Macaca mulatta: one gene and its partners. The protein of the gene in region 2 interacts with the protein of the main gene of each other region in a biochemical or structural test. Links are inferred from orthologs where the notes say so. Each region holds a gene or a part of one and is shown on either strand. Other genes may lie near its edges. The genes, in order: UNC119, ARL2, PDE6D and TBCD.

The links.
Region 1: the proteins of ARL2 (region 2) and UNC119 form a complex in vitro, tested with the Homo sapiens proteins (2 studies listed by BioGRID and IntAct, with this or other methods). The link is inferred for Macaca mulatta from reciprocal best matches to the Homo sapiens genes ARL2 and UNC119.
Region 3: the proteins of ARL2 (region 2) and PDE6D are reported together in a solved structure, tested with the Homo sapiens proteins (2 studies listed by BioGRID and IntAct, with this or other methods). The link is inferred for Macaca mulatta from reciprocal best matches to the Homo sapiens genes ARL2 and PDE6D.
Region 4: the proteins of ARL2 (region 2) and TBCD form a complex in vitro, tested with the Homo sapiens proteins (2 studies listed by BioGRID and IntAct). The link is inferred for Macaca mulatta from reciprocal best matches to the Homo sapiens genes ARL2 and TBCD.

Annotation. Positions count from the first base shown.
Region 1 is NC_133421.1:37,247,997-37,256,017, forward strand, and holds the start of UNC119 (protein unc-119 homolog A), read right to left. Parts: upstream 4,785-8,021; 5' UTR 4,711-4,784; coding exon 4,491-4,710; exon of another isoform or gene 4,444-4,490; intron 874-4,443; coding exon 760-873; intron 271-759; coding exon 168-270; intron 19-167; coding exon 1-18. Other genes in the region: GPI-anchor transamidase component PIGS, read right to left, coding at 6,673-6,948, 7,326-7,536. UniProt on the Homo sapiens protein: Involved in synaptic functions in photoreceptor cells, the signal transduction in immune cells as a Src family kinase activator, endosome recycling, the uptake of bacteria and endocytosis, protein trafficking in sensory neurons and as lipid-binding chaperone with specificity for a diverse subset of myristoylated proteins.
Region 2 is NC_133419.1:9,362,898-9,368,926, forward strand, and holds the end of ARL2 (ADP-ribosylation factor-like protein 2), read right to left. Parts: exon of another isoform or gene 5,391-6,029; coding exon of another isoform or gene 5,308-5,390; coding exon 5,197-5,307; intron 5,101-5,196; coding exon 4,918-5,100; intron 3,306-4,917; coding exon of another isoform or gene 3,293-3,305; coding exon 3,178-3,292; intron 2,957-3,177; coding exon of another isoform or gene 2,867-2,956; exon of another isoform or gene 2,866-2,866; intron 2,280-2,865; coding exon 2,145-2,279; 3' UTR 1,815-2,144; downstream 1-1,814. UniProt on the Homo sapiens protein: Small GTP-binding protein which cycles between an inactive GDP-bound and an active GTP-bound form, and the rate of cycling is regulated by guanine nucleotide exchange factors (GEF) and GTPase-activating proteins (GAP).
Region 3 is NC_133417.1:137,044,551-137,052,413, forward strand, and holds the start of PDE6D (retinal rod rhodopsin-sensitive cGMP 3',5'-cyclic phosphodiesterase subunit delta), read right to left. Parts: upstream 4,092-7,863; 5' UTR 3,897-4,091; coding exon 3,847-3,896; intron 1-3,846. UniProt on the Homo sapiens protein: Promotes the release of prenylated target proteins from cellular membranes. Modulates the activity of prenylated or palmitoylated Ras family members by regulating their subcellular location.
Region 4 is NC_133421.1:92,635,883-92,643,176, reverse strand, and holds part of TBCD (tubulin-specific chaperone D), read right to left. Parts: intron 5,663-7,294; coding exon 5,581-5,662; intron 4,269-5,580; coding exon 4,150-4,268; intron 3,313-4,149; coding exon 3,221-3,312; intron 2,527-3,220; coding exon 2,389-2,526; coding exon of another isoform or gene 2,290-2,388; intron 1,711-2,289; coding exon 1,627-1,710; intron 606-1,626; coding exon 447-605; intron 357-446; coding exon 218-356; intron 1-217.

The DNA of each region.
Region 1 (8,021 bases), on a different chromosome or scaffold from region 2:
CCCACTGTGAACTCCACCCTGAGCAAGGGAAGGAAGCAGGGCTGAGTCTGTCCTTGAAGTCAGCTAGCCAGCCAGGCTCAGGACAGGCCACCCCTACAAGAGGCTGAGAAGGGCCCCCTCACACCCTCTCCCTCACCCCCACCACCACCCCCAGCCCAACGACTCACGTGGCTCCCACCTGCCTCAGGCGGAGGAAGGCAGGTGTGAACTGGTAGCGGACAAAGCGCCCAGCATTGGGGTCCAGGTCCCGCCGGTTGATGGGCAACCGCTCTGCAATGTACCCCAACTGGGGCTCAGTGGGCTTCAGGCTGGGCCCTTGTCCACCCAGGGTTCCACCCCTGGGCCTCTATCTATCTGATTTTGTAAAAACTCCCCAAGAAATTCTGGGGCACATTGAGGGTTCAGACCATTGGCCAGATAGTGCCACCTAGCGGTTCTAGATCTGCAGGTTCCCAATTGCCACTGTGGTTCCGGGGCCACAGGATGCTGAGGCCTGGGACCCATAGGACTGCAGTTCCCAGAGAGCCCTGCAGAGGGCAGGCTGGCAGGGACCGAAGGGGCAGGGCTGACCTCACAAGATGTCCAGCCTCAGAAACATATGGGAAGGAAAAGAAAGGGCCTCCTTGCCTGCAGACTCCTGAGAATGCTGGGGTCCAAGCCCCACCTCTGTGGACTCCTCTGTGGCCCAAGGAGTCCCTGGGCAGCCCACTCCGCAGCTCATATCTGCCTCGCCATCAATGGCCCACCCAGCCCACTCACCTGAGGCTGGGGGCTTCTTGATTTCAAAGAGGACAGTGCCTGAGTCCATGTCCCGAATCTTAAACCTGACGAAGTCGATCTTGTAGATATTCTCCTCGGGGGAGCACAGGTAGTCTACGGGAGACAGGCAGCTGAGCAAGGAAGGGGCCCCAAAGCCCCTGCTGCCAGGTCAGCTTGTGTGGGACCCCAGAGTAGCTACCATCTTCTCATCCCTGGGATCACTACCCTCTGGAAAGAGGGACCTGAACCCCTGCCCTTGGAGTACACCCCCAGTGTGGAAGAGACATAACTCCACCATGGGGATCTAACAGGGGATAAGGCGTGCCATCCTGGTGGCCTCTGGGGGCCAGGGAAGGGAAGGGCAGAGAAGGGTAGAGGACAAGGCCACCTCCCGGATGCTCTCCCTCCCACCCTGGAGTTGAGGGTCCTCCTTCTGGCCTCTGCTCTGCCAAGGCTGGCTAGGTGACTTTGGGAGAATTGGGTCTCCAGCATGGTGGGAGCCCCTCCTCTCATATGGGAACAACTTCCTGCAGTCTGACCTGTCTCTTCTACTGCAAACTCAATCTATCAACTTCTCTGCTACCCTGCCTTTGAGAACCACACTGTAAAGGGGGCCACACAGCTCTGTCTTGGGAGAGTCACAGTCCTTCTCTGGAGGATACTCCTACCCTCGCCCCACAGCTGCCCCTGGCATGACATCTAGATGTATCAGGTGAGGCTGATGTTGAGGGGACTTTCCCTGATATGGGTGGTGCTGGGGCAGGTGAACAACCCCTTCCCTGTTCCTCCTCCCCTCCCAACCCCCTCCTCTCAGTAAGAAGCTTACACCAGCCCAGCTCCCTTAAGCAGCTTAACCAAAGCTCTGCTGACTCAAGCCCAGAGCCTGGGATATGGCAGGGGGTGGAGGCCAACTTTGCTCTTATCCTTTGTTGATCTCCAAATGGGAGGAAGTCTTAGCAAGCAGAGGGAACCCCCTTAGAGGTCATTTAGGCAGCCCTGGCTCTGAGCCACCACCATGGAGAAAGTAGTCCCGGACCCCTATAGAGAAGAACACAGGCTAGGCCAGGAAGCGAGTGTGGCAGGTGCAGCAGCGGGTGTGGAAGGGCTAAAGGGAGTCCTCGGGCCCACAAGGGGAACCAAGAACAGTGGGAGGCCCTGCCTGAGGAAGCTCAGGGACCTACAGGGCCTGATCTAACCCTCACAGCTCTTGCAGCAGCAACTTCAGGTGTTCAGGGAGACCCTGGCAACAAAGATAGCTGAGAGGTGCAGGGAGGGACTCTGATGCTGTCAGCCTACACAGCATCACATCCTCCCCTGGTGGCCCACAGAGGCCTGGAAATCACCCTCCAGGCCCCTGGGCCACCTATTCCTCTGGGGCAGGAAGAGGAAGTGAATATAAAGTCATTTTCTCTTCCCCAGGCCTGCTTCTTCCCCAAGCCTGACACAGTCCCCTCCAGGAAGCCCTCCTGGCAGCCGTCTGGTACCTGGGGCCCGGCATGGACTTTATACAGCTTGGGGAAGAGTCTACTACAGCCCACGTGTGGGGTGGGGAGAGATTGGAAGTGGGCAACCTCTATCTCATGCCATTCACCCTATTTTCACAGAAAGTAAGCACCAGTATAAAGACATAGAAAGAAGGTACAGAGCATAGGGAATAGAGTGGCAGAGTGGGGAGCAGGATCCCAGTGCCCAACTCCCAGATCCCTGTAAGGCCTTCTCTTCTCCCATTCTCTAACTTTTGGAGCCTCTCTCATTTGGGAACAACTTTCTGCAGTCTGACCTCAGTCTCTTCTACTGCAAACTCAATCTATCAACCTCTCTGTCCTTAGAAGAAGTGAGGAACAGGGATGTCTATGGCTCAGAACACCATGGCCACTCCTTCCCTTCTAGAAAGGATGAGGCCTGGGACCCAGGTTCAGGTCAGAATAAGGAGCAGAGTGGCCAAGGGCTCAGAACACAACTGCTCTATTCCTCTCAGCCACAAATAGCTTCCTAAGCTGGATTCAGGGCCCAGTAATCTGGGAACAGCAAACCTCGGACCTGCGTGATTAGGGTCAGAAGAGACCAGCAAGAGGTGCCAGGGTGGAAATCCCTGGAACCCTGTTCTCAACTCCTGCACAGGAAGGGGTTCCCATGAAGCCCTTTCCTCTACTCACCCTCCACAGATTCCCCATCTCTAAGGGCTATGAATTGCCTCCAAATTAGGAGACAAATGGTGGTACATGAGCTGGAAGCTCCCTCTACTTGCAAAATCAACCCCCCAAGTTACTCAGGGCTCAATCTGACCTCTGGACTTCCTCTGAGACAGTTCTGCCCCAGAGCTAAGCTGAATCCTAAATGCTGCTGTTGCAAATTGTAGCCCAACTGGCTTCAACATCAGCCTGGTCCAGCCTCCCTCCCTCCATCGACGCCTGCTTGGGCAAGGGAGCTCAGTACTCTGGGGGCCCAGCCAAGAATGGCTGCTGCCTAACTCAGTAAGGATAGAGGAGTTGGCCCCCAGGGACCCAGGAGCACAGGCTCAAGGCTGCCTCCCCTCCACAGCTCTGTCTGGGAGCCCTGTGTTCAGCTGCTTTGGAAGCTCTAGGGCTCAGGTCCACTCCAATATATGCACCCCATACCCACAGAGAGGCCCCCCAACAATTATTCTCACAAAGGGGGCCAGGGCAGGTTGCTGGTGAATGTGGCCAAGGTGGAGAGCCACTGTCTCTTCATCCTTTGAGGCTCAGCCAAGGCCTCTGCTATGAGGTTTCCTAGCCCTCATTCCCTGCCTATGATGACCCCCTCCCCTGCCCTGAAAGCCAAGTTGTTTGACCCCAGGCAGCAGCCATGAGCAGCCCTGTAGGGCCCAAAATACTACTGATCAAAGAGCCCAATGTACACAGAATGCATAGATGCCAGGCACTGTACAGAATCAGAGGACTTATCTTCACAATAACCTTACGAGATAGATACCATTATCCCCATTTTACAGATGAAAAGACATGCTGAGAGGTCAGGTTACTTGCCCAAGTTCACACAGCCAATTATATGCAAAGTTGAAACTCCAGCCCAGGCAGTCCAGCTCAGAAACTCTTAACCACAGTGGAGACCAAGCCTCCCTTGATGACAGAGCCCCTAGAATAGGACAGGCGCTAGTCCAGGCTTGGGGGGACGTTAAGCCACTCCCCATGAGAAGGAACCACAGTCAACACTCTGAAGCTGCCTGCTCAGTTTCTTTCCTGGGGAAGAAAATGGCCCAAGTATTCCTGGAGGATCAGGGTGAGGGTATTAATGGTTGGGGAGACATGAAGAGTCTGAATGCCTCCGAAGTAACTCAGCCTCCACCTAGCCTCCAGGGTGGGGGCTGAGGACAAGCTGCACTCAGCCCCTCTCCTCATTAGTGCAGGGGCGGGCCTCAAAGCGCTCTGAAGACTCCACAGAGGCAGGGCTACAGTTGCAGCTGCTGCCGCACGCACCTCCACGCTGGGAAAAGGGGACGGACCCCCGGAAAAGGAAGGAATAAATCTTGAAAGGGAGAAGAAAAGCGCACAGAGAGAGAGATCAAGGGAAGGGGGTACACAGAGATCTCAGGCTTGGTGGCAGAAGGGAGAGTAGGGGACACAGGAGAGGGAGACTCGGTGGGGGAGGGGAGGCGGGAAAGGGGGCGGGGGCTGGGGCTCGGTGCGCCGGGAGGGCCCCTCGCACCCTCTGCCCTTCCCGCCAGCGGGAGGCGCTCCCTCGCGGGTGCTCACCACCCGTGATCCGCTGCAGCCCCAGCACGTCCTCCGGCCCGATCGGCTGCTTCCTCTGCAGCGGCCCCGGCCTGGGCCCTGGGCCTGCGTCCGGCTCCGACTCGGACCCAGATTCAGATTCCACCGGCGGCTCTGGTATGGGGGCCACGCTCGGGCCCGAGGGCCCGGGAGCGGGCTCCGCCCCCGTCCCGGCCCCACCGCCGCCCTTCTTCACCTTCATGGCCTCGCCGGGCCGCGGCTCGCCTGCTGCTGCCGCCGCTGCCTGCGCCGGCTGGAGCCGGAGGAAGGGGGAGCGTCCGCAGCCCCGCCCCCGGCCGGGGCTCCAGGTACCGCCCCGCCCCGGCCCCGCCCCTGGGGTGGGCCCTGCGCTGATCCCGCCCGCCCCGCGGCCCACCCCTGCCGAAAGGCCACGGACGTGGGGGATGGGAGTCGGGGGATCCTGCCCTGGGCTTCATTCTGTTTTTCTAACACTTTCTTGCACTGGTACTAGTGGGGTCCTGACTACCTCTCCGCTTACTCACTGTGTTCCAGCCTTTCTGCTCATGAGTTCCAGGCTCAGGGTCTCTGCTTGGATGCTCTTCCCCAGATGGCCTTTTTTCTCCTAGTCACAGCTCAAATGTCATCTGCTCAAAGTTGCCTCCCTCACACCCAGTCTGAAGTCCTTCCCCCTCAGTCACCATCTGACCAGCCTGTTTTTGTCTTTCCAATGCATTATGTGAAATTATTTTTATTTGTCTGCTCTTCCTCATGAAAGCTCAGCTCTGTGAAAGCACTGATCCTGCCTACTTTGTTCTCAGTAGGACCCCGGCACCTGGCAGAAGGCTCCCTGCAGCTGGTGCTCAAGATATATATATAGGGCCGGGCGCGGTGGCTCAAGCCTGTAATCCCAGCACTTTGGGAGGCCGAGACGGGCGGATCACGAGGTCAGGAGATCGAGACCATCCTGGCTAACACGGTGAAACCCCGTCTCTACTAAAAATACAAAAAACTAGCCGGGCGAAGGTGGCGGGCGCCTGTAGTCCCAGCTACTCGGGAGGCTGAGGCAGGAGAATGGCGTAAACCTGGGAGGCGGAGCTTGCAGTGAGCTGAGATCCGGCCACTGCACTCCAGCGTGGACGACAGAGCGAGACTCCGTCTCAAAAATATATATATATATATATATATATATATATATTTTTTTTTTTTTTTTACCTGATGAATTAGTATCTCAGGTAAAAAGCAGATGCTAACAGCCTTGGGCAATCTAGCTAGGAAAGGCACATGGCCACGTGGAAGCAAAGTGGACCTGTGGGCACAGGAGGACAAACACCAGGAAACTGTTACTTACCAGTGAATGCAGAAAGAGTAGAGCTCAGACTTTGTATCATTCCAATTCATATTCAGCCAGTGTTTATTAAGAGCCTAATATACACTAGACATGTTACATGCTGATCACATTTAATCCTCACAACCACCTTGTAAGGGAGACATCATCAGTGCCATTTGAATGAATGAAAAACTGAGGCTCAGAGATATTCAACAGCTTATCCAAAGCTCTCCAGACAATAAGTGCAAAAACAAGGATTTGAATTCAGGACTCTTTGATTCCAAATCTGGAACCTTCTGGAACCTCTGACTCACACACACACACACACCCCCAACACCACGTCCTGAGCTGCTGCCTCCTGGACTTCCACCAGACTGTACCTGACAGACAAAGCTAGCTAGGAGGGAGGGGAGTGAGGGAGAAGGTCCCAGAGGTGACCAATGCCTGACCCCTTCATGACGGCAGGGACTAGGGCTCTCCCACAGGCGTTAGAGAGAAGAGTGGAAGGGAGGGACTTTCCCATAATGCTCCCTCCTCTCAGTGCATGAGTGTGCTATGTTGAGAAATAGGGCAAAAGAACAAACAGTCCATGCCACAGAGGGAGACAGGGAGCAGCCTTATCAAACAAGATAAGGAGACCCAGATGATGTGCCTTTTGGGGCCCCTGGTGGTGGAGGAGGACTGAGCCAGGGGAACGGGAAAGGAAGAAAAGATGAATCCATCTTGGAGTGTTGTACTTTGGTTGCTGGAAAGCCAATAGTGGAGACTGGAGACAAATATTTAAGTCATTCCGGCAGGCCCCATGTACGTGCCTCTCAATCTAACACCGCCCACCTTGGCCAAAAAGGAAGGCTTCCTGTGGAGGAGCTGCCCTGCTCAGTCTGTCTTCTCAGGCTTTTTCCAGGACTTGTGGGTCTCCAGGAAGATCTTGACCAGGGACAGGAGGATGGGCACAGCCATAGGCAGGAAGAGTGGGATGTAGATGGCAAATTTCTGGTCATCAGGGAAATAAAGGAGGTGGAGGAGTGACGGGTCAAAAAAGGCACGCTCAGAGGACGTCACAGCTTCCTGGCTGGCGACAAAGGCAGATGCCAGGTGCCCAGAGGCCAACTCTTCTGCTGACTTCTGGACTGCAGCTACAGCCCTGTATACCTAGGAAGCAGAAGGGACAAGAGGGTATACCAGTAAGTCCCAGGCATTGGTGGAAAGGGTGCTGGGCCTTACTGTGCTTTCCATCTATCGAGGAAGATGCCTGGAGTTCATCCAGGATCTATGGAAGTCTGTCTAAAGGGATATGGTTTATTTTCCTAGGGTCAGCTTGAAACCTCGCACTGTCATCTGCACTCCTGCTGGGGGGCTGGTACTGCTGTCTAGAGGAAGGCTGGGACACTAAAGATGAAGAGTGTGGTGAGACCAGAGAGCCTGTGAAGTCCACACCGTGACTTCACAGGCTCTCTGGTCTCACCACACTCTGGCCCTCTCTGACTACTCCAGTCCCAAGCTGCAGAATCCATCCCCTGCCCACTTACCTCAGATGCCACATCGTCCTTAATGACAATGTTGCTGATCTTGCCCAGAAGCTGTGCCAGGGAGGTGAGGGTGGTGGTGGCTGTGGCCAGATTCTCCACTGACCGAGCCCAGAGCAGCCGGTCTAGCTCCCAGGTCATTAGCCCTTCACTCTTAGGCCCTGAAAGCAGGCATTTTGGAGGCACCTGGGGCTGAGCAATCCCAAAGAGCAACCTGTAGGAACATCGGAGTAAGATCAAGGTGGCTGAGACCACAGGGTGGGAGATGATGGCTAAGATTTCTCAAATACCTGTCCTAAACCAGTGATTTTCAATCTTACCCAGAACCATAGGGGTTAAAGGGAAGTACCTCAGGGTCTTGGGGCATAAGTGGCAACACCAAGCAAATTGGCCCCAAACCCTGCTTCAACCGGTGTTTCTGCTTTTACCTGTTTCTACATTAGACTTCCAAGATCTTGTTTTTTAAAAAAAGGTTCCATGGCTAAAATACTTCTGATAACACTAACTTAGTTTAATCCTTTCACCTTCTCTACCCTCTCTTTGAACAAATGGGGCCAATGGGACTTAGCATTAAGGGATGATCCAGGACTGCCTTTGCCAAGGCACATGTGCTGTGCTTCTCTAAGCCTGCATCCGTGACAGACACCGCTAGTCAATCAGAAGAACACTCTTTCCTAATGAGCCCAGATACAGCCTTAG
Region 2 (6,029 bases):
GTGAGCCACCGCACCCAGCCCTTTCTTCCACTTTTAAGGAAACCTAGGCTGGGCATGGTGGCTCACGCCTGTAATCCCAGCACTTTCCTAGCACTTTGGGAGGCCAAGGTGGGAGGATCACCTGAGCCCAGGAGTTTGAGACCAGCCTGGGCAACACGGCAATACCCCATCTCTACAAAATAAAAAATTAGCTGGGCGTGGTGGCACAAGCCTGTAGTCCCAGCAAGGAGATGGGAGGATGGCTTGAGCCTAGGAGGTCAAGGCTGCAGTGAGCTGTGATCATGCCACTGCACTCCAGCCTGGGTGACAGAGGGAGGCTCTGTCTCAAAAAAAAAGGAAACCCAGATTTTGCACAGGTCTCTACCCCTCCACAAAAGGATCCTAGTGCCAGCTTCAGAGTAAATCCCAGTGTCTCTTCCTCACCTTTTGATAATAGCATTCAACTTTCCTTTGGGAAAACTGCCCTTCTTCCATTGGATATACTCTGCTGGGAGGGTTGTTGGGCCACAAATCCACATCAAAAGATAATCGTGAGCCTCAAGCTGCGCCAGGCAGGCTGCCTCTCCTTGGCATTTGAATTTTGAGCAGAGAGACAAAAATTGAAGACAATTAGGCCTGAGCTATTTCGGGAGGCAGCAGGGTAGGTATAGTGACCAAGTGTGCTGGGTTCGAGTCCAGCTCCCTCACTTCCTAGCTGCGTGGCTTTGAGGAAGTCACTTAACCTCCTGGAGGAAATGTCATCCAGGAGCCAGTCGATACCAGGCAGCATGTTCTTCCCAGCAACGGGGCTGCAGCCCTCGATGTACCAGTGGTGGCTGTAGAGTTCAGCTCCAGGGCCTGGGAGGACAAAGGTACTGGTGGTGGCCAGTGCCTCCCCTCAGCCCCTTCCCTCCCTGCTCAAGGGTCAGCCCATCCAGGAAGCCTCCCCTGGCCCCTGGGAGAGCTTATCTGTTCCCCGGGGCACCTGAGCTCTCTGTACAGTCCCACGCCAGTGCCACCCCTTAGTGTCCCATATAAAGGGGGGTCTTGATAGGCAGCACTGCATAGGGCTGTCCCTAACTGCATTGCTGAATGGGTAGTACTTAGAACAGAACCCTGCAGAGTAAGCAGCTGTTAGGACCCTGGGCCGTGAAAACATCCACCAGTCTTGCCACTTGGACTGGACCCCTGGGGTGGCCTCATTTCCTATCCTTTCCCAGCCTGGCACTGGTTCCGAGTTCCTGTCGCCTTCAGGAAAGGACTCAGCTACCCCTACCTGATGTGGCCCCCTCCCGCCCTCTGGCTGCACTCCCTCCCACACATGACTCTATGCCCCTCCCCATTTCCCAAGAGCCTTTGCTCTTCATGCCTGTCCTGTGATCCCCTCTGCCTGAACCTCTGCTGGCCTCATACAGCTATTCAGGTTGTCCACTGCACATGGGGTCCTGGCTACAACAGAGAATTGGGAGCTGAATTTCAGCCCATGTTCCATTCAAAAAGTTGGAGCCCTGGTCTGGAGCTGTGTCCCTTTTTCTAATTCATACCTATGAGAGTTGGAGTTCCCCTGGTGAACCGTCTTCCCCTTTCTCTACCTGGAAAACTACTCACATTTTATTCCCAGTTTTAACATGACCTCCTCTAGGAAGCCTGCCTGGACTCCTCTGGATGGAATCAGTTGCACCGTGTCCCATGCTTCTATAACTTTTTTTGCATCCCTTTGACATAGCCGCAGCTCACCATTGACTGCAATGGTCTGTTCCTTTCTGTCCCCTGCTGGATTGTGGGTCCCAGGTGGTCTCTAACGCTGTTGAATCAACAAATGACTCAGCCAGGAATCAGGGCAAGGAGTGGTTTATTTCACAGCTGAGTGAAGGATGAGGCCCACAGCCTCGGTAGCAGCAGTAGCAGCTCCTCCCCGCCCAGTCCTCTTTTCTTGGTATGGTAGCCAAAGGCCAGGCCAGGAGCCAGGGAAACAGCCAGGGCACAGCCCTCCCGCCACAGGAGCTGGGTGGCCACAGAGCAGCAGCGGGCAGCAGTAGCAGCAGCAGGTTGGGGTGGAGGAGGGGGAGTGTTAGTTTGGCTGGCTGACTCCCATGCCCCCATGGATAGTGTTTGGTGAGGGTTGGGGGACCTGGACTGCTAGGTGGAGGGACATCTGGAGTGGCTCAGTCAGCTGTGAAGATGCGGCTGGAAATGTCATCCAGGAGCCAGTCGATGCCTGGCAGCAGGTTCTCCCCGGTGACGGCGCTGCAGCCCTGGATGCACCAGTGGTGGCTGCGGATGGAGTCCAGCTCCAGGGCCTGGAAGAACAAAGGTGCTGATGGTGGTGGTCAGTGACTGCAGACCCTGCCTTCCCTCAGCCCCTTCCCTCCCCAGCCCAGAGGAGCTCCATGCCTCCCTCAAGGCCCTGTTCCAGGTCATCCCATCCAGGAAGCCCCGCTGGTCCCTGAGAGACTTTGTCAGCCCCCAGGGGCACCTGGGCTCTCTGTCCAGTACCACACCAGTGCCGCCCCTTAGTGATGTAAATGCAACACGGGCTCTTGAGCATCCACCAGGATCTGGGCATCATGCCAGGAGCCCCACACATCCTCTCTCATTCTCCTCAAGTCCTCATGAGCCAGGGATTGTGTCAGCCATTTCACCAAGGAGGAAACCAAAGTTCAGAGAGGTTAAGCAACCTGCCTAAGGGCACATAGCTCATAAGTGGCACAGCCAAGATTTTAACGCTGCTCTTTCTCACTGTGGTGCTTGAGCACTAGAATCATGGTTAAAATGTGGGCTCTGGGGTCAGACAGGCTTCTGGTCTATTTAGTGGCTGTGTGACCTGGGACAAGTTACCTAATCTCTCTGAGCCTGCTTCACCATGTGTAAAATAATAGTTCTTACCTCATGAGGTTGTTGTGAGAATGAAATGAGTTAATCCATGCAAGGAGCAGAGCATACTGAAAGCACTCTGTTTGTGCTGGCTACTGTTAGCCTGTGAACAACACATGTGCAGTTCTGTCTTCCCCAGGCTGTGGGCCACCCCATGCCTTATTAATCACTGGATCCCCAGTGCCCTGCATAGGTCCTGCCACCTAGCAGGGGCTAATAAATGCTTTTATTATTACTTTTTTTGGTTATTTTTAATAAATGCTTTTAAAATAAAAAAAGTGAGCCCCTTTCTCTCAGTGGGCCTGTCCCAGGGCCTGGACTCACCTCGCGGATGGCGTTAGAGGACAGTGCTCCAGGCAGGTCCTGCTTGTTGGCAAAGATGAGGAGGGTGGCTCCGGCCAGGCGCTGGGGAAGAGAAGACAGAGGGGTGGGGTGGGGACTCAGAGGACAGCCTGACCCCTCCTCTAACGGCCCAGAGCATCTGGGGTGAAGGATCGACCTGGAAGATCAAGGTGAGGCCCTGTGGTGGTGGGAGAGGCCCAGGAGTGAGTTTGTGGACATAGCCATCAAGGCTGGACCACATGGGCGATGGCAGTTCTGGGCCAGGGTTCTGGTTCCAGTCAACCACCACAGGGGACACCGCTGTCCCCCATGCTTCAGCTTCCTCTTCCATAAACAGGGAGGGGTGCTGGATAAGATGATCCCTGAGCTCTCTGTGGTTCTAGACTGCTCCAATCTGATGACCAGACGTGCACAGAGAATGTGATCTCTCCCGCTTCTGGGTTCACACAGCCCTTTAACCGTTCCACTCCCGACAGGCCACGCCGTCCACCTCTGATTCTAGTTGTTTCCACATATGCATCTGTTATTGGGAGATGTGGGTGGACGGGTCTAACCCTTGGGCCTTGACCTGCCTTGACCAGCATCTGATGGCCCTGATCTCATTTGACCTGCTTCACTCACACAGGAGGTGTGTGCAGTGTGCCCAGGACAATCCCGAGTCTGCCTGCAGAATCCCCCCTTTCACTCTCACAAGTGTCCTCATTTTCAACTAAATGCAATGTTGTAGCTTCAATCAAACACTGGAAACAGAAAGTATATTAGTGGAAAAACTGGTGAAATTCAAATAAAATCTGTAATTAAGATAATAGTAATTCACCAATGTTGATTTATTAGTTTGGACAGGCCACGGTTAGGTAAGATGGAGAAGCAAGGTAAAGGGTATATGGGGGACCTCTGTACTATCTTTGCAAGTTTCCTTCTTTTTTTTTTTGAGATGGAGTCTTGCTCTGTTGCCCACTCTGGAGTGCAGTGGCACAATCTCAGCTCACTGCAAGCTCTGCCTTCCAGGTTCACACCATTCTCCTGCCTCAGCCTCCTGAGTAGCTGGGACTACAGGCGCCCGCCACCATGCCCGGCTAATTTTTTGTATTTTTGTAGAGACGGGGTTTCACCGTGTTAGCCAGGATGGTCTCGATCTCCTGACCTCGTGATCTGCCCATCTCGGCCTCCCAAAGTGCTGGGATTACAGGTGTGAGTCACCGCGCCCTGCCCCTTATTTTTTTTTTTTTTTTTTTTGAGACAGGGTCTTGCTCTGTCACCCAGGAGGCTGGAGTGCAGTAGTATGATCACAGCTCACTGCAGCCTCGACCTCCTAGGTTCAACTGATCCTCCTGTCTGAGCCTCCAGAGTAGCTAGGACTACAGGTGCGTGCCACCACCCCTGGCTGAGGTCACACAGCGAAGAGTCAGACTCTTGAGCCAGGCTCCACGGCCTCTCAAAGCTTCATGCTGGCCTTGGGTCATCCTCCCTAAAGCCCAATGATGTGGGTGTCATCATCACCATTTCAAGGCACAGAAACTGATGCTCAGGGTATTGATGTAGTAACACCCCAGGGACGTTAACTCAATCTCAGTCCACAGCATGTGTCCTGCCTCTGGCACCATGGGCCTCCCATGGTGGGGGCCCAGTGAAGGAATGGAGCCTGCCTCTAGTTTCCCTCTGGGGCCACAGACCCCTCTGGGCATCTGCTGAGAAGGCGGCCACATGTCCACACATTTGCACAAAGGGTAGGAGCTGCCCACCTCCTCCACCAGCAGGCTCTGGAGCTCCCGCTGGCAGTCCTGCATGCGCTGGTGGTCCGCGCTGTCCACTACCCAGATGAGGCCGTCGGTGCTCTCAAAGTAGTTCCGCCAGTAGGACCGCAGGGACTTCTGGCCACCCACATCCCAGATGTTCAGCTTGAAGCTGGGCAAGAAGCAGGTGACAAGAGGGTCAGCTGGGCCCCTCTCCCACCTTCCCTGCCCTGCTCTGGGTTGGCCCACCCATGGGGCCCCTGCTCACCCTCGGTGCTCCAGGGTCTTGATGTTGAAGCCCAGTGTTGGGGAGATGGTGTCGATGTCCTCCCCATTGAACTTCTTCAGGATGGTTGTCTTTCCAGCATTGTCCAGGCCACTGGGGCGCAGCAGGTTAAGGAGAAGTCCCTGTTCTCCGCCGGGTGGTGACATCGTCACAGGGGACTCATTATTTTCCGTCATGTATCAAACTGAGTTCAGCACATGCCTGGCCATCATTGGCCCACAATAAATGTGAAAGTATCAAGATATAAATATCATCTCTACTGCCCAAAAGCTCCTTAATTTGTTGAACACCTACTATGTGCCAGACTCTCTTCTGGGTGCTTGAGGACAAAGCCCTGCCCTTAGGAAGCTTACACTCTAGTGGGAAGACAGTCAATAAAGTACAAACAAATGAGAAAAGAAGGAGCTGCCAGGTCCTGGCTAGTACCATCAACACAACAGAGAGGATTTCCGAGAGGGCCATCGGAGGCTCTTTCAGCTCGGGTGCCGGGGAAGGCCCCTCTGAGGTGTCTGGAGTTGAGACCCAAAATACAAGGAGCAAGCTTTTTGAAGAACTAAGGGAAGAACAGGTATCTGGAGGAAGCCACCCTCATGTGTTTCTGGAATATTCCAGACCTGCTACTGCAGAGTGCAAATTAATGGGTGTGCTTACTGTGGGAGGGAACCACCCTCCTCTATCCTCCCAACACTGCAGCTCAGTTGGGCGTGGTGGGGTGGGCAGGTCCTGGACTGGACCACCTCTCCCTGCTCATCGGGGCTGGGGCAAATGAGCCCAGTCCAGGAGAGGGATGAGGAGGAGACTTCCCCTGAGGCCCA
Region 3 (7,863 bases), on a different chromosome or scaffold from region 2:
AGAATAAAATCTTGTAAGATTTTGTTTTTGAAACAACTGATGGCAAATACAAAGGCTTATACTGAATTCACTCAGACCATGCCTGATTTATGCATCACTCTTACGGAGTATCTTTAAATTTTTTTTTTTTTAGAGTTGGGGGTCTCACTATGTTGGCCAGGTTGGTCTTGAACTCCTAGCCTTGAGCCATCCTCCCACCTAGGCCTCCCAAAGTGCTGGGATTACAGGTGTGAGCACCATGCCCAGCCAAGTCCTCATGTTTCTATCTACTATGGGCATATGGCAAGCTTCTATGTGAATAAAAGGGGCATAAATATTTATAGGGACCTTAAACACACATATTATGTTAGTCACAGACCAATCCTATTGTAAACTGTACTAAATCACATCATAAAGCTATAATAATTCAACCAAATGTGTATAGGCACAAGAAGAGACAAATAGATCAATGAAAGAGAAATAATCAAAAAATAAACCTACGTCTTATGAAAATTTAGTATATGACAAGGATGGCATTTCAAAACAGTGAGGAAAAGACGGACTTAGTACTTAGTACTGGAACTACTGGCTATTCAAACAGCAGAAGTACTTAGATATCTACCCTATACCAAATGTATAAATACGTTCCAGGTGGATTAAAGAGCTAAACATTAAAAAGAGAAGAAAAGATAGGATATTTAGTTAATCTTGGGATAAGAAAGATCTTTTTAAACAAGATACAAAATGCAAAAGCCAGACGGCAAATATTAATAAACTTGAGGCCAGGCACGGTGGCTCACGCCTATAGTCCCAGCACTTTGGGAAGCAGAGGTCAGGCGGATCACGAGGTCACGAGTTTGAGGACAGCTTTGCCAACATGGTGAAACCCGTCTCTACTAAAAATACAAAAATTAGCCGGGCATGGTGGCATGTGCCTGTAATCCCAGCTACTCAGGAGGCTGAGGCAGGAGAATTGCTTGAACCTGGGAAGCGGAGGTTGCAGTGAGCCAAGATTGTGCCACTGCACTCCAATGTGGGCAACAGACCGAGACTTCATCTCAAACAAATAAAATAAATTTGAAATGACAATTTTAGAATTCTGTTCAACAAAAAAGGAGACAATACATTGAAAGAAAATATTTGCAAAATATATAATAGGCAAAGGATTGATATTACAATATGTAAAGAACATCTACAAATAAGAAAAATAAACAATTTAATAGTAAAATGGGCAAAAACAAAATTAACAATTTACAGAAGAAAAAGAAATGGCCAAATAGAGATGTGCAACTTATCTAATAACAACAAGAATAACACTAGCTAAAGCATAATGCTTACTGTAGATCAGGTGCTTTTCTAAATGCTTTAGATATCAACTCATTTACTCTCAAAGCCCCATGCGATAGGTAGTATACTATTATTTTCTGCATTTTACAGATAAGAAAATTGAGGCAAGGTTAAAGCAGTTGCTCAGGGACACACAACTAGGAGTGCAGGGCTGGAATTCCAATGCAGGCAGTATAGCGACATAGTCCAGTATAGCTCTTAACCACTATGCTACATTACCTTTTCATGGATGTAGGGATCCCAGGAGAATACCAATTAAAACAATATATCATTTGTTATCTAAACTGGCAAACAAAAAAGACCGACCTAGTCAATGTGGAAAACTGAGTACTATCAACACTGTTGGTGGGAGAACATAATGGTGCTCTTTTTGTAGTGATAAACTATTCTTACAGAAACAGATACTCTGAAAGAAAGTTCGGAAAATCTATTTACCCAATAAAAGGTAGACAATAGTCAGTTTCTTACTAAAACATTAATTTTACTTTTTCCTGAAGGTAGTAGCATATCTTAACATTCCTGCTTTTCTTTTCCCTCTTACTCCACAAATGCCCAATAAAGGCTACCAGAGGATGAGCACGCCACTGCTCTCATGCTAACTTTTTGATGTGGCTGCTTCCCTGGTGCTTCAGGATTTAATCAGCTCAGGTCAAGCTTTCCCCGAAAGCCTGTTTCTGGATGCACTAACATCACTGAATTGGTTGATTCGCTTTTCCTTCTAGTGGGCTGACACAGATTCTGCTTTCTGAAACTCTTTTCCGTATTTGTCTCTTATCCTCTTTCTTAACAGGTTCAAGAGCCAAGACTGAAGGTGAGAAGCTCAAACTTTTCTGCTTTGTTCAAAAGCCATTAAAAAGGTATTTCTTCTTTTCAGCAATATGGTATTTCCAATCAGATGAAAACGTTGCTTCTGAAATCTCTCAGTTCTCCATAGTTTCTGGTTTACTGCTTACACAGCATGTTAAGTAACAATATTATTACATTGTTATATGTTAAGTAATAATACAAATTACTTGAGGGAAAAATAAAATTCATGTCATAGCTTTTCCAGCACTTCAGTCATCCCTATATACCTATATGATCCATTATGGAGAGAAACACAGAAAGGCACATGGAGCTCTAAAGAGGCTGCTACTAAATCACTACATGAAAGTACTGAAACTTTATCCTGAATGGTAGTATGCAAAGGTGATACAGCCTTTAGGTTTTTTTAAAAGCCTAGATCAATTTTCACTTGAAAAATCTCACTTGTACATCCAAAACTTCCTTTTTGCACTGTGGTCTAAAATGTATTACCAACTTGGTTTCTGATTATAGCAAAGCAATTAAATTTTGCAAGGGTGACATGGACATTGTGAAAACACAACAGAATATCAAGAAAACAGTGCTTTACTAAACCTCCAAGGGAGGAGTCCTAAAGCGGTGACTACCTTTTCACTGAGGGAGCAGTTTAAGAACGTTCCGTACTATAGATTACAGACAGGATGTATGCAGAGATTAAAGCCGGCAGGAGAATGGAAAATTTGAATATACAAGTTTGCATTTTTTCATCTGCATCATATGGTGACAGACTAACACACTCCACGAAAACACAAAGCTTCCTTACCACATTAAGGAGAGGCTGCAAGAGCGGCATCACAACAGGCCCGAGGCAATGATTTCTCTACCCCACTATCCTACCGTGGCCCCAGCGACATCACACTATTGCTGGACAGCTCCACCACAGCTAGGCATTAACCGCACCAACAGGAGCGAGCAAAGACACCTCGGCTAGGAGCCCCAGCGCGAGGCACCCCACACCTAAGCCTATGGTCCTCGTGTTGCTGGAAAGGAAACTGAGGCGCTGAGGGGGAAGCAGTGACCAATGCCTCAGAAGACCAAGAGTGTTAAGACGAGGTTGATCTTGGACTTCTCTTTCCCCACCTCCCCCAACTACTCTAGCCCTGGAAGAAGCCACAAGTTTGGAAGAGAAGTTGTGGAAACCAGACGGGGGTGGGGTGCGGTGCGGTGGGGGCCCTGAGAGAGTTTTAAAAGCACTGGTATTTGTCCCACACAAGGTCGCCCGCTCCAAGTCACTGTTCCCCGCTCCTCGGGTAGGCTTATAGCCAAAGAGGCTTCTAGACTTTAAGATCAGCCCACCGCGCCCCCTCAGCCCTTCCCTGCGGGCCGCAGCCCCCTCCCGGCCTCTGGGTCCCGGCCGGGGATTGGAACCCAGCCGGTCTCTCCGATAGCGTTTGCGACGCCCGGCACCTCTCGCAGCCCAGTACCCCAAGCTCTTCCGTCCCCACCCGCCACCCCCTGTGGCTCCCGTCAACGTCCCCTTCCTCCCTCAGGACGCCCCTGGGGGCGCTTCTCGCGCCTGGTCCCGCCGGGTGCACGGCACGCTTTTCCTTTCCTCTCCCCTCCCGCAGCCCTTCTTCCGCGGGGCCCACCTGGCGCGGCCCCCGCCCCCGGCCAGTCTCCTCAGTGAGCGGCCGCCTCCCAAGTCCTCCCGGCCCCGCCCCGCTCCCGGGCGGATACAGTTTGAAGCCCCTCAGGATCTCCCTGGCCCGCTCGTCCTTGGCTGACATGATGCGGCGCTAGCCGCCCGCGGCTTTCTCACTCTGGTCGGCGGAGCCTCGCAGACGGTGCCCAGGAGCCGAGGATGGAGCCGCAGCCCGGCTTGGAGACCTCGGGCGAGCAGCCGCAGCGGCCAGACCAGGACCGGCCTCTCTCTCCCCTCAGCTCCCGCTCCTGATCCCTTCTCCTTCCCCCTAGCCTCGCAGTGCCCCCCTGGAACCAATGGAAAGCCAGCTTTGGTGATTGGCATCCCAACCAGCCAGTAGGAGCGCGCTGCGCCTTCGCAGGGGGACTGTTAACGTCAATGGGAAGGGCCCTCCCCGGGAAGTCCCATAGGACACAATATTCATCTGGTGTTATTGCCTAGAGTTTGTCCCAGCGGAGTGTTGGCTTCGGATCTGCAGAGGCTTTAGGGACCTGCTCCCGCAGCTGAGCACACTAGCCATTCGAGACGGCAGCTGGTTGCACTGTGCTACGCGACAGAGACTACATTTCCCAGCATTCCAGCGGCGCACTCGGGGGACTACAGATCCCAGCGCACCACAAAGAGGTCCGGAGACTACAAATCCCAGCATCCTCTGCACTCGGTTCCTCTGTAACTTAGACTCCAGTGTGCCGCGCAGTGTGCGCAAATTCACAAACCCGCCCGCTGAGTTGGTGGTTTCGGAATCCCGAGACTTGAAACCCAGCGGGAAGACCCTTCTCACCGTCAAAAGAAGATGACAGCCCGCAGAGAGTTAACTTCTGTTTACATGGAACTCAGACATCTTCTGCAAATCATGGTAAGGCTGCTAACAACAAACAAAAACACTGATTAAACCGTGAAAGATAACAAAATGACTTCTTCAAATCGTGCTTGTTGGTCTGAGGCGCCTTTTACGTGTTTTTCAGGGGTTTTTGCTGTATTCCTGCTTTGGACCGGGAGAGCTATGGATTGTATACTCAGAATATCAAAACATAAAGGGACTTTGCTAATCTACCCCGTTGTTACGTATGAGGAAATTGAGGCCCAGAGAGGCGAAGGGATTGGCCACAGATCACAGCAAGTTCGGGCAGAGTTAGAATTCAGCCCTAAGTCGGCTGACTTGCAGTCTGGACTCTTTGCACCACACTAAGGAGGTGATATTTTTAGCAGCATAGCAATGTGAATTATTCTCCTTGAACAGTTTTCCTATCCAGTGTTGAAACACCCAGAATTAGGTAGCATTTATTTGGTGGATTTCTTTCAAGTGAGGGAGTGTGATATTTATTTTCAGCCTAGGTAGGACTTGGTGTTTTGTTTTTTGCCACTCAAGGTGACATTTAATGTGATTTCAGGAAGTAGGTAAAATTGCAGTGTGAGCCACGGTTTCCTTGGAAACCTCCTCTGTCCTTCTCTTGGCCTTCCTTCCTCTGCCTGTCCCCTCTTTCACCCATCTGGGAACTCACCCAATTTTTTCTTCCATGTAATTCAATAAATATCTTTTCAGCCTGTTATTTGTCAGGCACTGAGTGGGTAAAAGGTGAAGGACATGGTCACTGCCACCAGGAAGATAAACATCTATTTAGGGAAATAAGGAGACTCCACTGAGATTCAAGATGGAGTGTGATAAAATGGCATAAAAGAAACGACATCAGAATGCTAAGGAGGCCCTGATGAAAAGGTTAATTGCAGCTGGCAAAACTTTAATGGAGAAGGTGGCATTTGGACTTGAAGTTTTTTTCCATGTTAAAAAAGTTTTTTTTTTTTTTTAAATGAGATGTGACATACAGTATGGGAACAATTTTTGCATAGGTATACACCCTTGTCCCCACTACCCAAATCAAGATATGGAACATTTCTAGCACGCCTAGTGCTCCTTCCCAATCAGTATTACCTCCTTACATATTGAGATAATCACTCTTCTGACTGTATCACCATAGATCAGTTTTGTCTGTTCTTGAATTCCAGTTAAATGTAATAATACAGTATGTACAGTATGTGTCTGGCTTTTTTACTTTATCAATATTTTTGTGAAATTCATCCATGTTGTGTGTAGCCTTTTAACTGCTGAATAGTATTCTGTTGTATATATATACCACAATTTACCTTTCCACTGTTGGTGGGCATTTGCGTTGCTATTTTTTGGACTATTACTAGCAAAGCTGTAGCGAGCATTCTTACATGTTTCTTTTTGTAGACACTTGCACCCATTTCTAGGAGAGGAATTGCCGGTGTGTAGGGAGGTTATGCACATGATCAGTGATAGTAGACATTGCCAATTTTTCAAAATGATTGTACCAATTTACGCCTTTGCCAGCAATATGAAAGAGTTCTAGGTGCCTCTTATCCTTGTCAACACAGGATTTTTGTTGTCATTCTTCTTAATTGTAGCCATTCTGGCTGAATGTGGTATCTCATTAAGGTATTTATTTACATTTTTCCTTATGTTGAGCGCCTTTCAATATGCTTGTTGGCTAGTTGAACGTTGTCTTTCCTGAAGTGCCTATTCTTTTCCCAACTTTAAAAAATTGGGCTGTCTTCTTATTGATTTGTAGTTCTTTACCGTCTGGATATAGAGTTCCTTGATACATGCTTTGCAGATATCTTTTCCAAGGCGTGGCTTGTCTTTTCACTCTCTTACTGGTGACTTTTGAAACAAATTATATTTTTGAGGGATGGGGTCTCTGCTATGTTGCCCAGGCTGGAATGCAGTGGCTATTCACAGGCACCAGCATTGCCCACTACAACCTCGAACTCCTGGGATCAAGTGATCCTCCTGTCTCCGCCTCCCAAGTAGCTATAGTAAGACTTTAGGTGTACTCCACTGCATCTGCCAAGCAGAAATTCTTAATTTTAACATAGTGCAATAGTTCCATGTTTTCTATTATGGTTAGTGTTTTTTGCATTGGATTTCAGAAATCCTTGCTTTTAGAGTTGGTAGGTTTTTTACAGGCTAATAAAAGAGCATTCCAAAAAAGAGCAAGCTTGAGCATAGGCCTGGTGTCTGAGAGGGATGGTATAAGTTGTGCCGGGCATGGGAGTTTGGACTGTGAAGGGGGTGGGGTGCGACAAAGCTAGAGGACTTAGGAGGGAGGCACACTTGGAAGGGCTTTCACTGCAGCCATGGGCTGGGTGTGGTGGCTCACACCTGTAATCCCAGCATTCTGGGAGCCAAGGTGGGAGGATCACTTGAGATCAGGGAAGAGCAGCTTCAGCAACATAGAGAGACCCCATCTCTAAAAAAAAAAAAAAAGAATAAATTTGCCAGGTGTGGTGGCCTGCACCTGTAGTCCTAGCTACTTGGAAGGTGGAGGTGGTAGGATCCCTTGAGCCCAGAAGTTCAAGGCTGAGGTGAGCTATGATAGTGCCACTGCACTCCAGCCTGGGTGACAGAGTAAGACTGCGTCTCTTAAGGGAAAAAACCCAAAATACTAAGTCCAAATTGCAGCCATGGAGTCTGGACATTATTCTGGAGGAAGTAGAGGCATTGCTGGAATTTCTATGAAGTCAAACTAAACTCTGTTGTCTTCCTCTCAATCCCATATTTGTCCCTCCTCGTCCATAGCCCTGTTCACTTAACACCAGTTCCAGACAGCTCTGGTCTCCCAGGACAGAATCCTGGGTGTTATGCTCCCTCCCTCTCCTTATATTCAGCTGGTCACCAAGTCTTATAAATTCTACAGTCTAAATGTCTCCAACAGTGTCCCTTCTTTTTCAACCCCAATTGCTACTCCCTTTGTTTTTGTTTGTCTTTTTGAGATGGAGTCTCAATCTGTCACCCAGGCTGGAGTGCAGTGGCACAATTTTGGCTCACTGCAACCTCTGCCTCCTGGGTTCAAGCAATTCTCATGCCTCAGCCTCCAGAGTAGCTGAGATTAGTAGTGCATCACCATGCCCGGCTAATTTTTGTATTTTTAGTAGAGACGGAGTTTCGCCATGTTGGCCAGACTGGTCTCGAACTCCTGACCTCAGGTGATCTGCCCGCTTTGGCCTCCCAAAGTGCTGGGATTACAGGC
Region 4 (7,294 bases), on a different chromosome or scaffold from region 2:
GCTGTTCCACCTTTATCAGATTCGACCATCCCACAGGCCCTAAGCCTCCTGGGTCATGAGGAAGCCGCTGGGCCCCTGACCCCCAGACCAAATACGCCAGAGAGAGAAAGCACTGGAAGAAAAGGCCCAGCTCCACATACACTCCCAAGAAGCAAGGAAGCGCCAAGTGCCCCTGGAGCCACCACCTCCCACCCCCGCCAGCGTGACGCCTCCTCACCGTCGACTCCGTCAAGCCGCCCAGGGACACGACAAGCCCCAGCAGGACGGGGTAGCGGTAGGTGGGCAGCCCGAGGAGCTGGGTGATGCGTGAGAAGGCCTGGGAAGGTGCATTCCAATTCACGGAGGCCACGTCGGACCTGCAAGAGAGTGAGTGGGACGAGGCCGGGCGGCCCATGATCTTGCCACGGCTGCAGGGCCAGTGTGGGCGGCCTGCACCCCGACGGTACCTGGGAAACAGCTTTTCCAGTTCTCCCCGGTGCGGCACGTGGGGGATGGGAGGGCTGTCAAAGTGCAGGAGCGTCAGGAACACGCTGATGGCGTGAGCACGGAAACGGTCGATCTTCTCACTGGCCTGCTGGGCCACACAGCACATGATGCGCTCACAGCTGCAAACCAAGAGCAGGAGGTAAACCGAGGGCGGGCGGTAAACCGAGCGCGGGCAGTAAACCAAGGGCGGGTGGCAAACCGAGCGCGGGCAGTAAACCGAGCGCAGGCAGTCTGAGCCATGAGTCCAGCTCAAGCACCACGAGGATATACGGGCTCCTCGGGACTTGGCAGCTGACACCAGGACACTGGCTTGGAAGGACCACACCCCATTACCTTCACATCCCAGGAGCCCGACCCTACAGGTGCACAGCAAATACATGCTACGTACATGTGACACACATGCCAATGAGTTCTTAGGGTTGAAGCGGGGACAACAAATATGATTACAGAAGCAGGTGGAGAAGAGTGTGGGGGACAGAGAGGCCGGGGATGGAGACAGAGAAGCTGGGGCTGGCGAAGAGATGGGGGGAGGGAAGGAGAAAGAGGTGAGAACTAAGGAAATCAGGCTCCGGGATCCCCACAACCGAGTGCCCCCGACAGAGACCCACAAGGGCAGGGCCTGGGACCCCCATGACTCAGTGCCCCTGACAGACCGACAGCAAGTGCAGGGCCTGGGGGTCCCCACAACCTAGTACCCCCGACAGACCCACAGCAAGGGCAGGCCCCAATGGCAGCCTCAGGTGCAGGGAACTGAGTGATGGCTCAGCTGGTCCTGGCAGGAGCAGACCCCCAGGTTCAGGGTCCTAAGCTGAGCAGTCCTCACCTCCAGCCCGGCCCTAACCTGGGAAGCTGGTTGTCATCAAACTGGTCAGAGCACTGGGGGAGGCCCAGGCTGGGTAGCAGAGCCTTGTCCTGGGGGCACTGGGCAGAGGAGGAGGGGCCCCAGCTCAAGCCATGGCTACAGGGGCAGGAGGAGGGGCCTGCACAAACCTGAGGTCACGGACCAGAGAGGCTCTCTGGGAGGAAGATGTGTGCCCAGCAATGCAAATGCCACTGAGCACCAGGACTGCCCGCCCCACCAGCCTCCCCAAGCTTGGGGCTGCCCTCTAGGATGCAGAAGAGCTGGGACGTGACACTCACATGTGGGCCTCGATCAGCTCAGGCTGGCTCCGAGCCAGCAGAAGTGTCACATCCATCAGACCGGTCATGGCGGCCTTGCGGACCCTGATGGGACAAGGAGAGGCAGAGACACCCAGCTTGAGAGGGAGTTCCCAACCCCGGTTCTACAACCACGCTGGCAGGCTGTGCGAATTCAACACCAGTGACTAACCCCACACAGAGCCCAGGCACGCTGCCAGGGAGAAAAGTCACAGGGTCTGCAGAGGTTCCCTGCGTGCTACAGGAACGTGTGCAGGGAAGGGAGACCCACAGCCGCATATAGGGGCCCCGAGGCATCCTGCACACACAGGAGTTTCGGGGATTATCAATCCCATTTCAGCGAGGAATGTTGGCAAAACCCAATGTAAGCAGCCGACAGCCTTTCACTGAAGACGCGTCCTTCCTCACACCCAGTCAATGAGGATGACGCAGGCCCAACACCTAAGGACAGGCTGGACAAGCACCTAAGCCCCGCCACGCAAGCTCACCCGGGAGCAGAGAACAGGTCGTCTTCCCAAGAGCCTTTAAAACGCAAAATACGGCACTCTACAAAGATTTCTCCCTGCAGAAAAGCCCGGGGCCTCCGAGTTTCCATGGAACAGACGGGCTTCTTCGAGGAAGTGCTCCCCCCTGCTGCGCACATACCAGGCACCCACGTCCCCCCTGCTGCGCACGTACCAGCCGCCCGCGTCCCCCCTGCTGCGCACGTACCAGCCGCCCGCGTCCCCCCTGCTGCGCACGTACCAGCCGCCCACGTCCCCCCTGCTGTCCGTGGTGTAGTCGTTCATGCAGCCCAGCAGTGCAGAATAAATCTGGGAAACGTTCTCTCTGCACACAGCTTCGACTGGGGCTCCTGGTTTCACACCAACAGTCTGGCAAATCCTAAAATTTAAAACGTCTGAGCTAACAGACAAACATCTGTGAGCCTCGCCTTCCACGCCACAGAGGTCTGATGTGTGTTCCCGATCCCGAGAAGACACACTCACAACAGTCTAGGACCCTCGGGTACATCAGAAATCCAGAGCTCCTTCCACACGTACGGAACGTGGGACATGCTTCCCCAAGGTCACGCTCTGCCGTCTCTCTTGTTGAAAGGTGGACGGGGACACCCCCTACGGCGGGTCCCTCCCACTTCCCACCCTGACTAGAGGGGACGGATGCTGGCATAGGAAAGAAGGGGGCGTGCATGACCCCCACGGGGCTGCTCCTCTTGTGTGCCTGCAGGGAGGAGAGGGCATATGGCATGGCCCCAGGTGCGTGTCTGTCAACGAGGGTGGAGATCATTCCAAACACTGGCTGGCAGGGTCACCTCCTCTTTGCCAACCTTGGGCCAGGACACATTCCCCAATTCTCAAAGGGGCCCAGTGTTGCTAAAGATGTTTAACATTCACTATGACTATGACAGCAAGAGACTGAACGAGCCTCCAGGACCTGGGACTGGCGATCCTCTGGAAGAGAGGAAACCTAGGAAGTGAAGAATCATAAATCCTGCCTCTGAGCAAAAACATCCTCCTTAGCGTTCATTTCTTGGCCTTTCAGAGACTTACGACTTTAGGGAGGAACTGCTGGGACTCACCTAGCAATGGCCTTCAAGCCATCTCTCCTTGACTCAGGGAAATTTACGTCCTCAGGAGAAGTGTGGGTAACTGCTCTTAAACCTGCGAGAACCTGGAAAGCAATAAAGAATCATGGAAGAACCACAGGCTGTAACGAAGTGCACTCTAGGGAGGTGGTGATGTCGGCCCGGAGCCACAGACCCCGCACCATGTGACAGGCCACTCCTGGCACCACCTTCCTCGAGGGGCCACCCATGGCCCCCGGTGGAGCCCAGGAAGGACACCCAGAGAGGGGTCACCTCCAGCCTCTCCACAGTCAGCCCCCACCCCAGGGCGTCACTGGCGGTCTGGCCGCACCCTACCTGAGGTCCCCCTTTTGTCCTATGCTGAGACCTGGGGTATGGGACAAAGGAAGCAGCTGGGTCTCAACAGCCTCATCTGTCATGTCTCCAAGTGATCCTGTTTCACAGTTATCTGTGTTTCAACTGTGAGAGAGCAGGTCGCCGAGGCCAGCGTGGGGCTGACCTGTGGGAGGACGTGGAGCCGCTGGTGCCCCCGCCTGGATGCGCGGCCGCAGCCAAAACAGGACCCGGCTCCACAAACGCACAAACGCAACTGTGTTCTCCTCACTCTCAGCAGCTGCTTCTACAAACAACACCTTCTCCTCCCTCCCAGAATTCAGCTTTTCAAAGTCTGTCCTCTGACAGGAAAGGGTTTGCCAGGGCCCTGAGGGGCCACAGACCTTGGGTGCCCTCTGCCCCCTTTCTCCTGGCCACAGGTGCCGACTTCCAGAAATCCCCTCCCAGCTACAAGCACTGAGTGGGTTTACTAATGGCTGGGCCTACCTCATGCCCCAACACACAAGGCTCCCACACCCTCGCCCCAGGCCCCGTCCGCTGCTCCCACACCCTCGCCCCAGGCCCCGTCCGCGGTGCGTAGCCAGTCTCACCTGCTGGAGCCGGCCTTTCAGAAGGAAGCCTGGAAGGGCGCCCAAGGCCGACGAGAAGCCACAGCGAGTCATTTCCTCGGGGCTCCGAAGCTCGGCCAGGTACTGCGTGATCAGCTTCTCTGAAAGGAAGTGACGAGTGTGAAGAGAGGCCTCTGCTGCCCATCGTGTACACTCACACCCGACGTGTACACTCACACCCGACGTGTGCCCCAAAACAGGAGCGAAGCCACGGTCAACAAAGGTTCCCAAAGCAGACACATTTCCAAAGTGGCCCCACCTCAAAATAGGGATCAAAAAGAGAATTTTTTTTTTTTTTTGAGACAGAGTCTCATTCTGTCACCCAGGCTGGAGTGCAGTGGTGCAATCTTAGCTCACTGCAGCCTCAAACTCACACTCAGCCTCCCAAGTAGCTGGGGTTACAGGCGTGTGCCACCATGCCAAGCTAATGCATGATTTTTATATACATGATTTTTATATACGAACAGATACATGATGTGCGATAAATGAGCCTGAACTTCAGCATGGGGGCGCAGGACGTACAGTGACGCGGCAGGAGTGACGCGGCAGGACGGCCACGCACAGGACAGGGGGCGCAGGACGTACAGTGAGGCGGCCACGCACGGGACAGGGGGCACGGGACGCACAGTGAGGCGGCCACGCACGGGACAGGGGGCGCAGGACGCACAGTGAGGCGGCAGGGCAGCCATGCATGGGACACAGTAAAGCCAGCCTTATGCTACTTTCACAAAGAAGGAAAAAACAGCAAAATATATTAACAAGTGAAGAACACACACCAGAAAAATGTCACAGTGTGCACAAAAATTCTAAAAACACTGGCCGGGCACAGAGGCTCACGCCTGTAATCCCAGATCTTTGGGAGGCTGAGGCGGGTGGATCACCTGAGGTCAGGAGTTCGATTCCAGCCTGACCAACATGGAGAAACCCCTGTCTCTACTAAAAATACAAAAAATTAGCCGGGCGTGATGGTGGGCACCTGTAATCCCAGCTACTCGGGAGACTGAGGCAGGAGAATTGCTTGAACCTGGGAGGCGGGGACTGCAGTGAGCCACGCCACTCCAGCCTGGGTGATGGAGCCAGACTGTCTGAAAGAATAAAATAAATAAATGTAATGTAAGAAAACACAACTGAAAGTGTGAGGAACACTGTGCTCCAGGACCAGCTGCCAGGGTGCCGTCAACAGAGGGCCCCCTGCAGAGCCGCTTACTCAGGGTGATGCAACACCCTGGGCCGCTGTGGGACCTGCCCAGAGGTCCTCAGCCGGGAACCTGAGACCCGAACAGTCCCGCTCCAGCCGTGATGGTGGTAGCTCTGCTCCCCTGCACAGCTGAGGCCTCCTCCGTGCCCAGACACTCCCCGAGCAGCTTCCTGCTGGAAGCCCCTGGAGCCTTCAAGGAAAGGGCCCCCACTCACCCTGAATTGCGGGATCTGCCTCCCCCGGTTCCTTCATGTAATATTCACTGCAGAGAGCAGCCAGGGCTGAGACTGCTGCATCCTAAAACAAAGGCAGCACGGTGAGCACACAGCAGCTCTGCTCGGAGAAGCCCCCGGCCAGGGACACAGCGGGTCACCCTGAGGTCAGAGAAGCACCTGACCAGGGACACGGTGGGTCACCCTGAGGTCAGAGTAGCCCGAGACCAGGGACACAGCGGGTCACTCCCAGGTCGGAGAAGCCCCCGGCCAGGGACACAGCGGGTCACCCTGAGGTTCAGGCACAGCGATGACTTTAGAACCAAACCGAGAGAACCCCTAAGTCATGCTGCTCCTTTCCAGCACGGCTGCCCGCCAGCGTCTGTCAGACACATGCATCGCTTCACTACAACTAAGAAACTGAGCGGACAACCTGATTGTTCTTTCCACACTGCCTGTCTTCTAATATGGAGCAGTAATAAAATGGAGCATTTTTTTCTTTCCCGGAAACAGGTATGAAGGAAAAGGCATACATTGTGCACCCAGAGTAATGGGGCAGGGCCTCCAGGCTAACCCACATCAGCCTCAATTAGAGACACAGGGCTCCAGTGGGGGCACTGGGAACAGGAGTTGGGGCCGGACAGCAGGAGACCCTCGGGAACCCATCCCAAGGCCACCAGGAGCCATGGTGGGAGGGATGGCAATTGCTACAGAGCAGGAGCGTGCAGAGAGTCACCAGTCCCACCGCATGTAGGGCTCAGTGCCAGTCTCCTCGAACCCCCACCTCTGCCACTTACGGAGGAGCCTTTCGTGACCACACAGCCAGCAAGTAGCAAACACTGAACCCACATGTTCTTTCCACTGCTCCCCCAAAGCCCGGGAGCCGAGGCCAACAGAGCAGCCTTGGAGAGGCACTGGGCACAGGGCGGGCGAGGCCAACAGAGCAGCCTTGGAGAGGCACTGGGCACAGGGCGGGCGAGGCCAACAGAGCAGCCTTGGAGAGGCACTGGGCACAGGGCGGGCGAGGCCAACAGAGCAGCCTTGGAGAGGCACTGGGCACAGGGCGGGCGGGGCCAACAGAGCAGCCTTGGAGAGGCACTGGGGGCAGGGCGGGCGGGGCCGTGAGCAGAGAAGGTACGTCTTCCACAGAGGGCTGCATTCCACAAGTCACCATCTGTGCCAATCCCAGGGGCAAAGTACACCAGCATCACGGCAGGCGTGAATTAATCATGGACTTTTGAAAGAAAATTTTGAGGCACTGATCATGATGCATTAAAATTCAATTAATAGAAGTGTACTTGGATCCTACAGAATGTTCAAGTTACTTAAGGAAAAAAAAATTAAGGAAATTGAAGACGCTAAGGAAAAAGAGATGCTAAGTACGGAGGAAGTCAGAGAATTACAAGACACCTTAATGTACTTCTGTTCTTCATCCTCAATATCAAAACCTAGTCAATGTTGGTAACCATGGTTTGTTTGTTTCTTTCTTTCTTTGAGACAGTCTTGCTCTGTCACCCAGGCTGGAGTGCAGTGGCACGATCCTGGCTCACTGCAACCTTTGCCTCCCAAGTTCAAGCAATTCTCCTGCCTCAGCCTCTTGAGTAGCTGGGACTACAGGCATGCACCACCTCACCCCGCTAATTTTTGTATTTTTAGTAGAGATGCAGTTTCACCATGTTGGCCAGGCTGGCCTCGAACTCCTGACCTCGAGTGATCC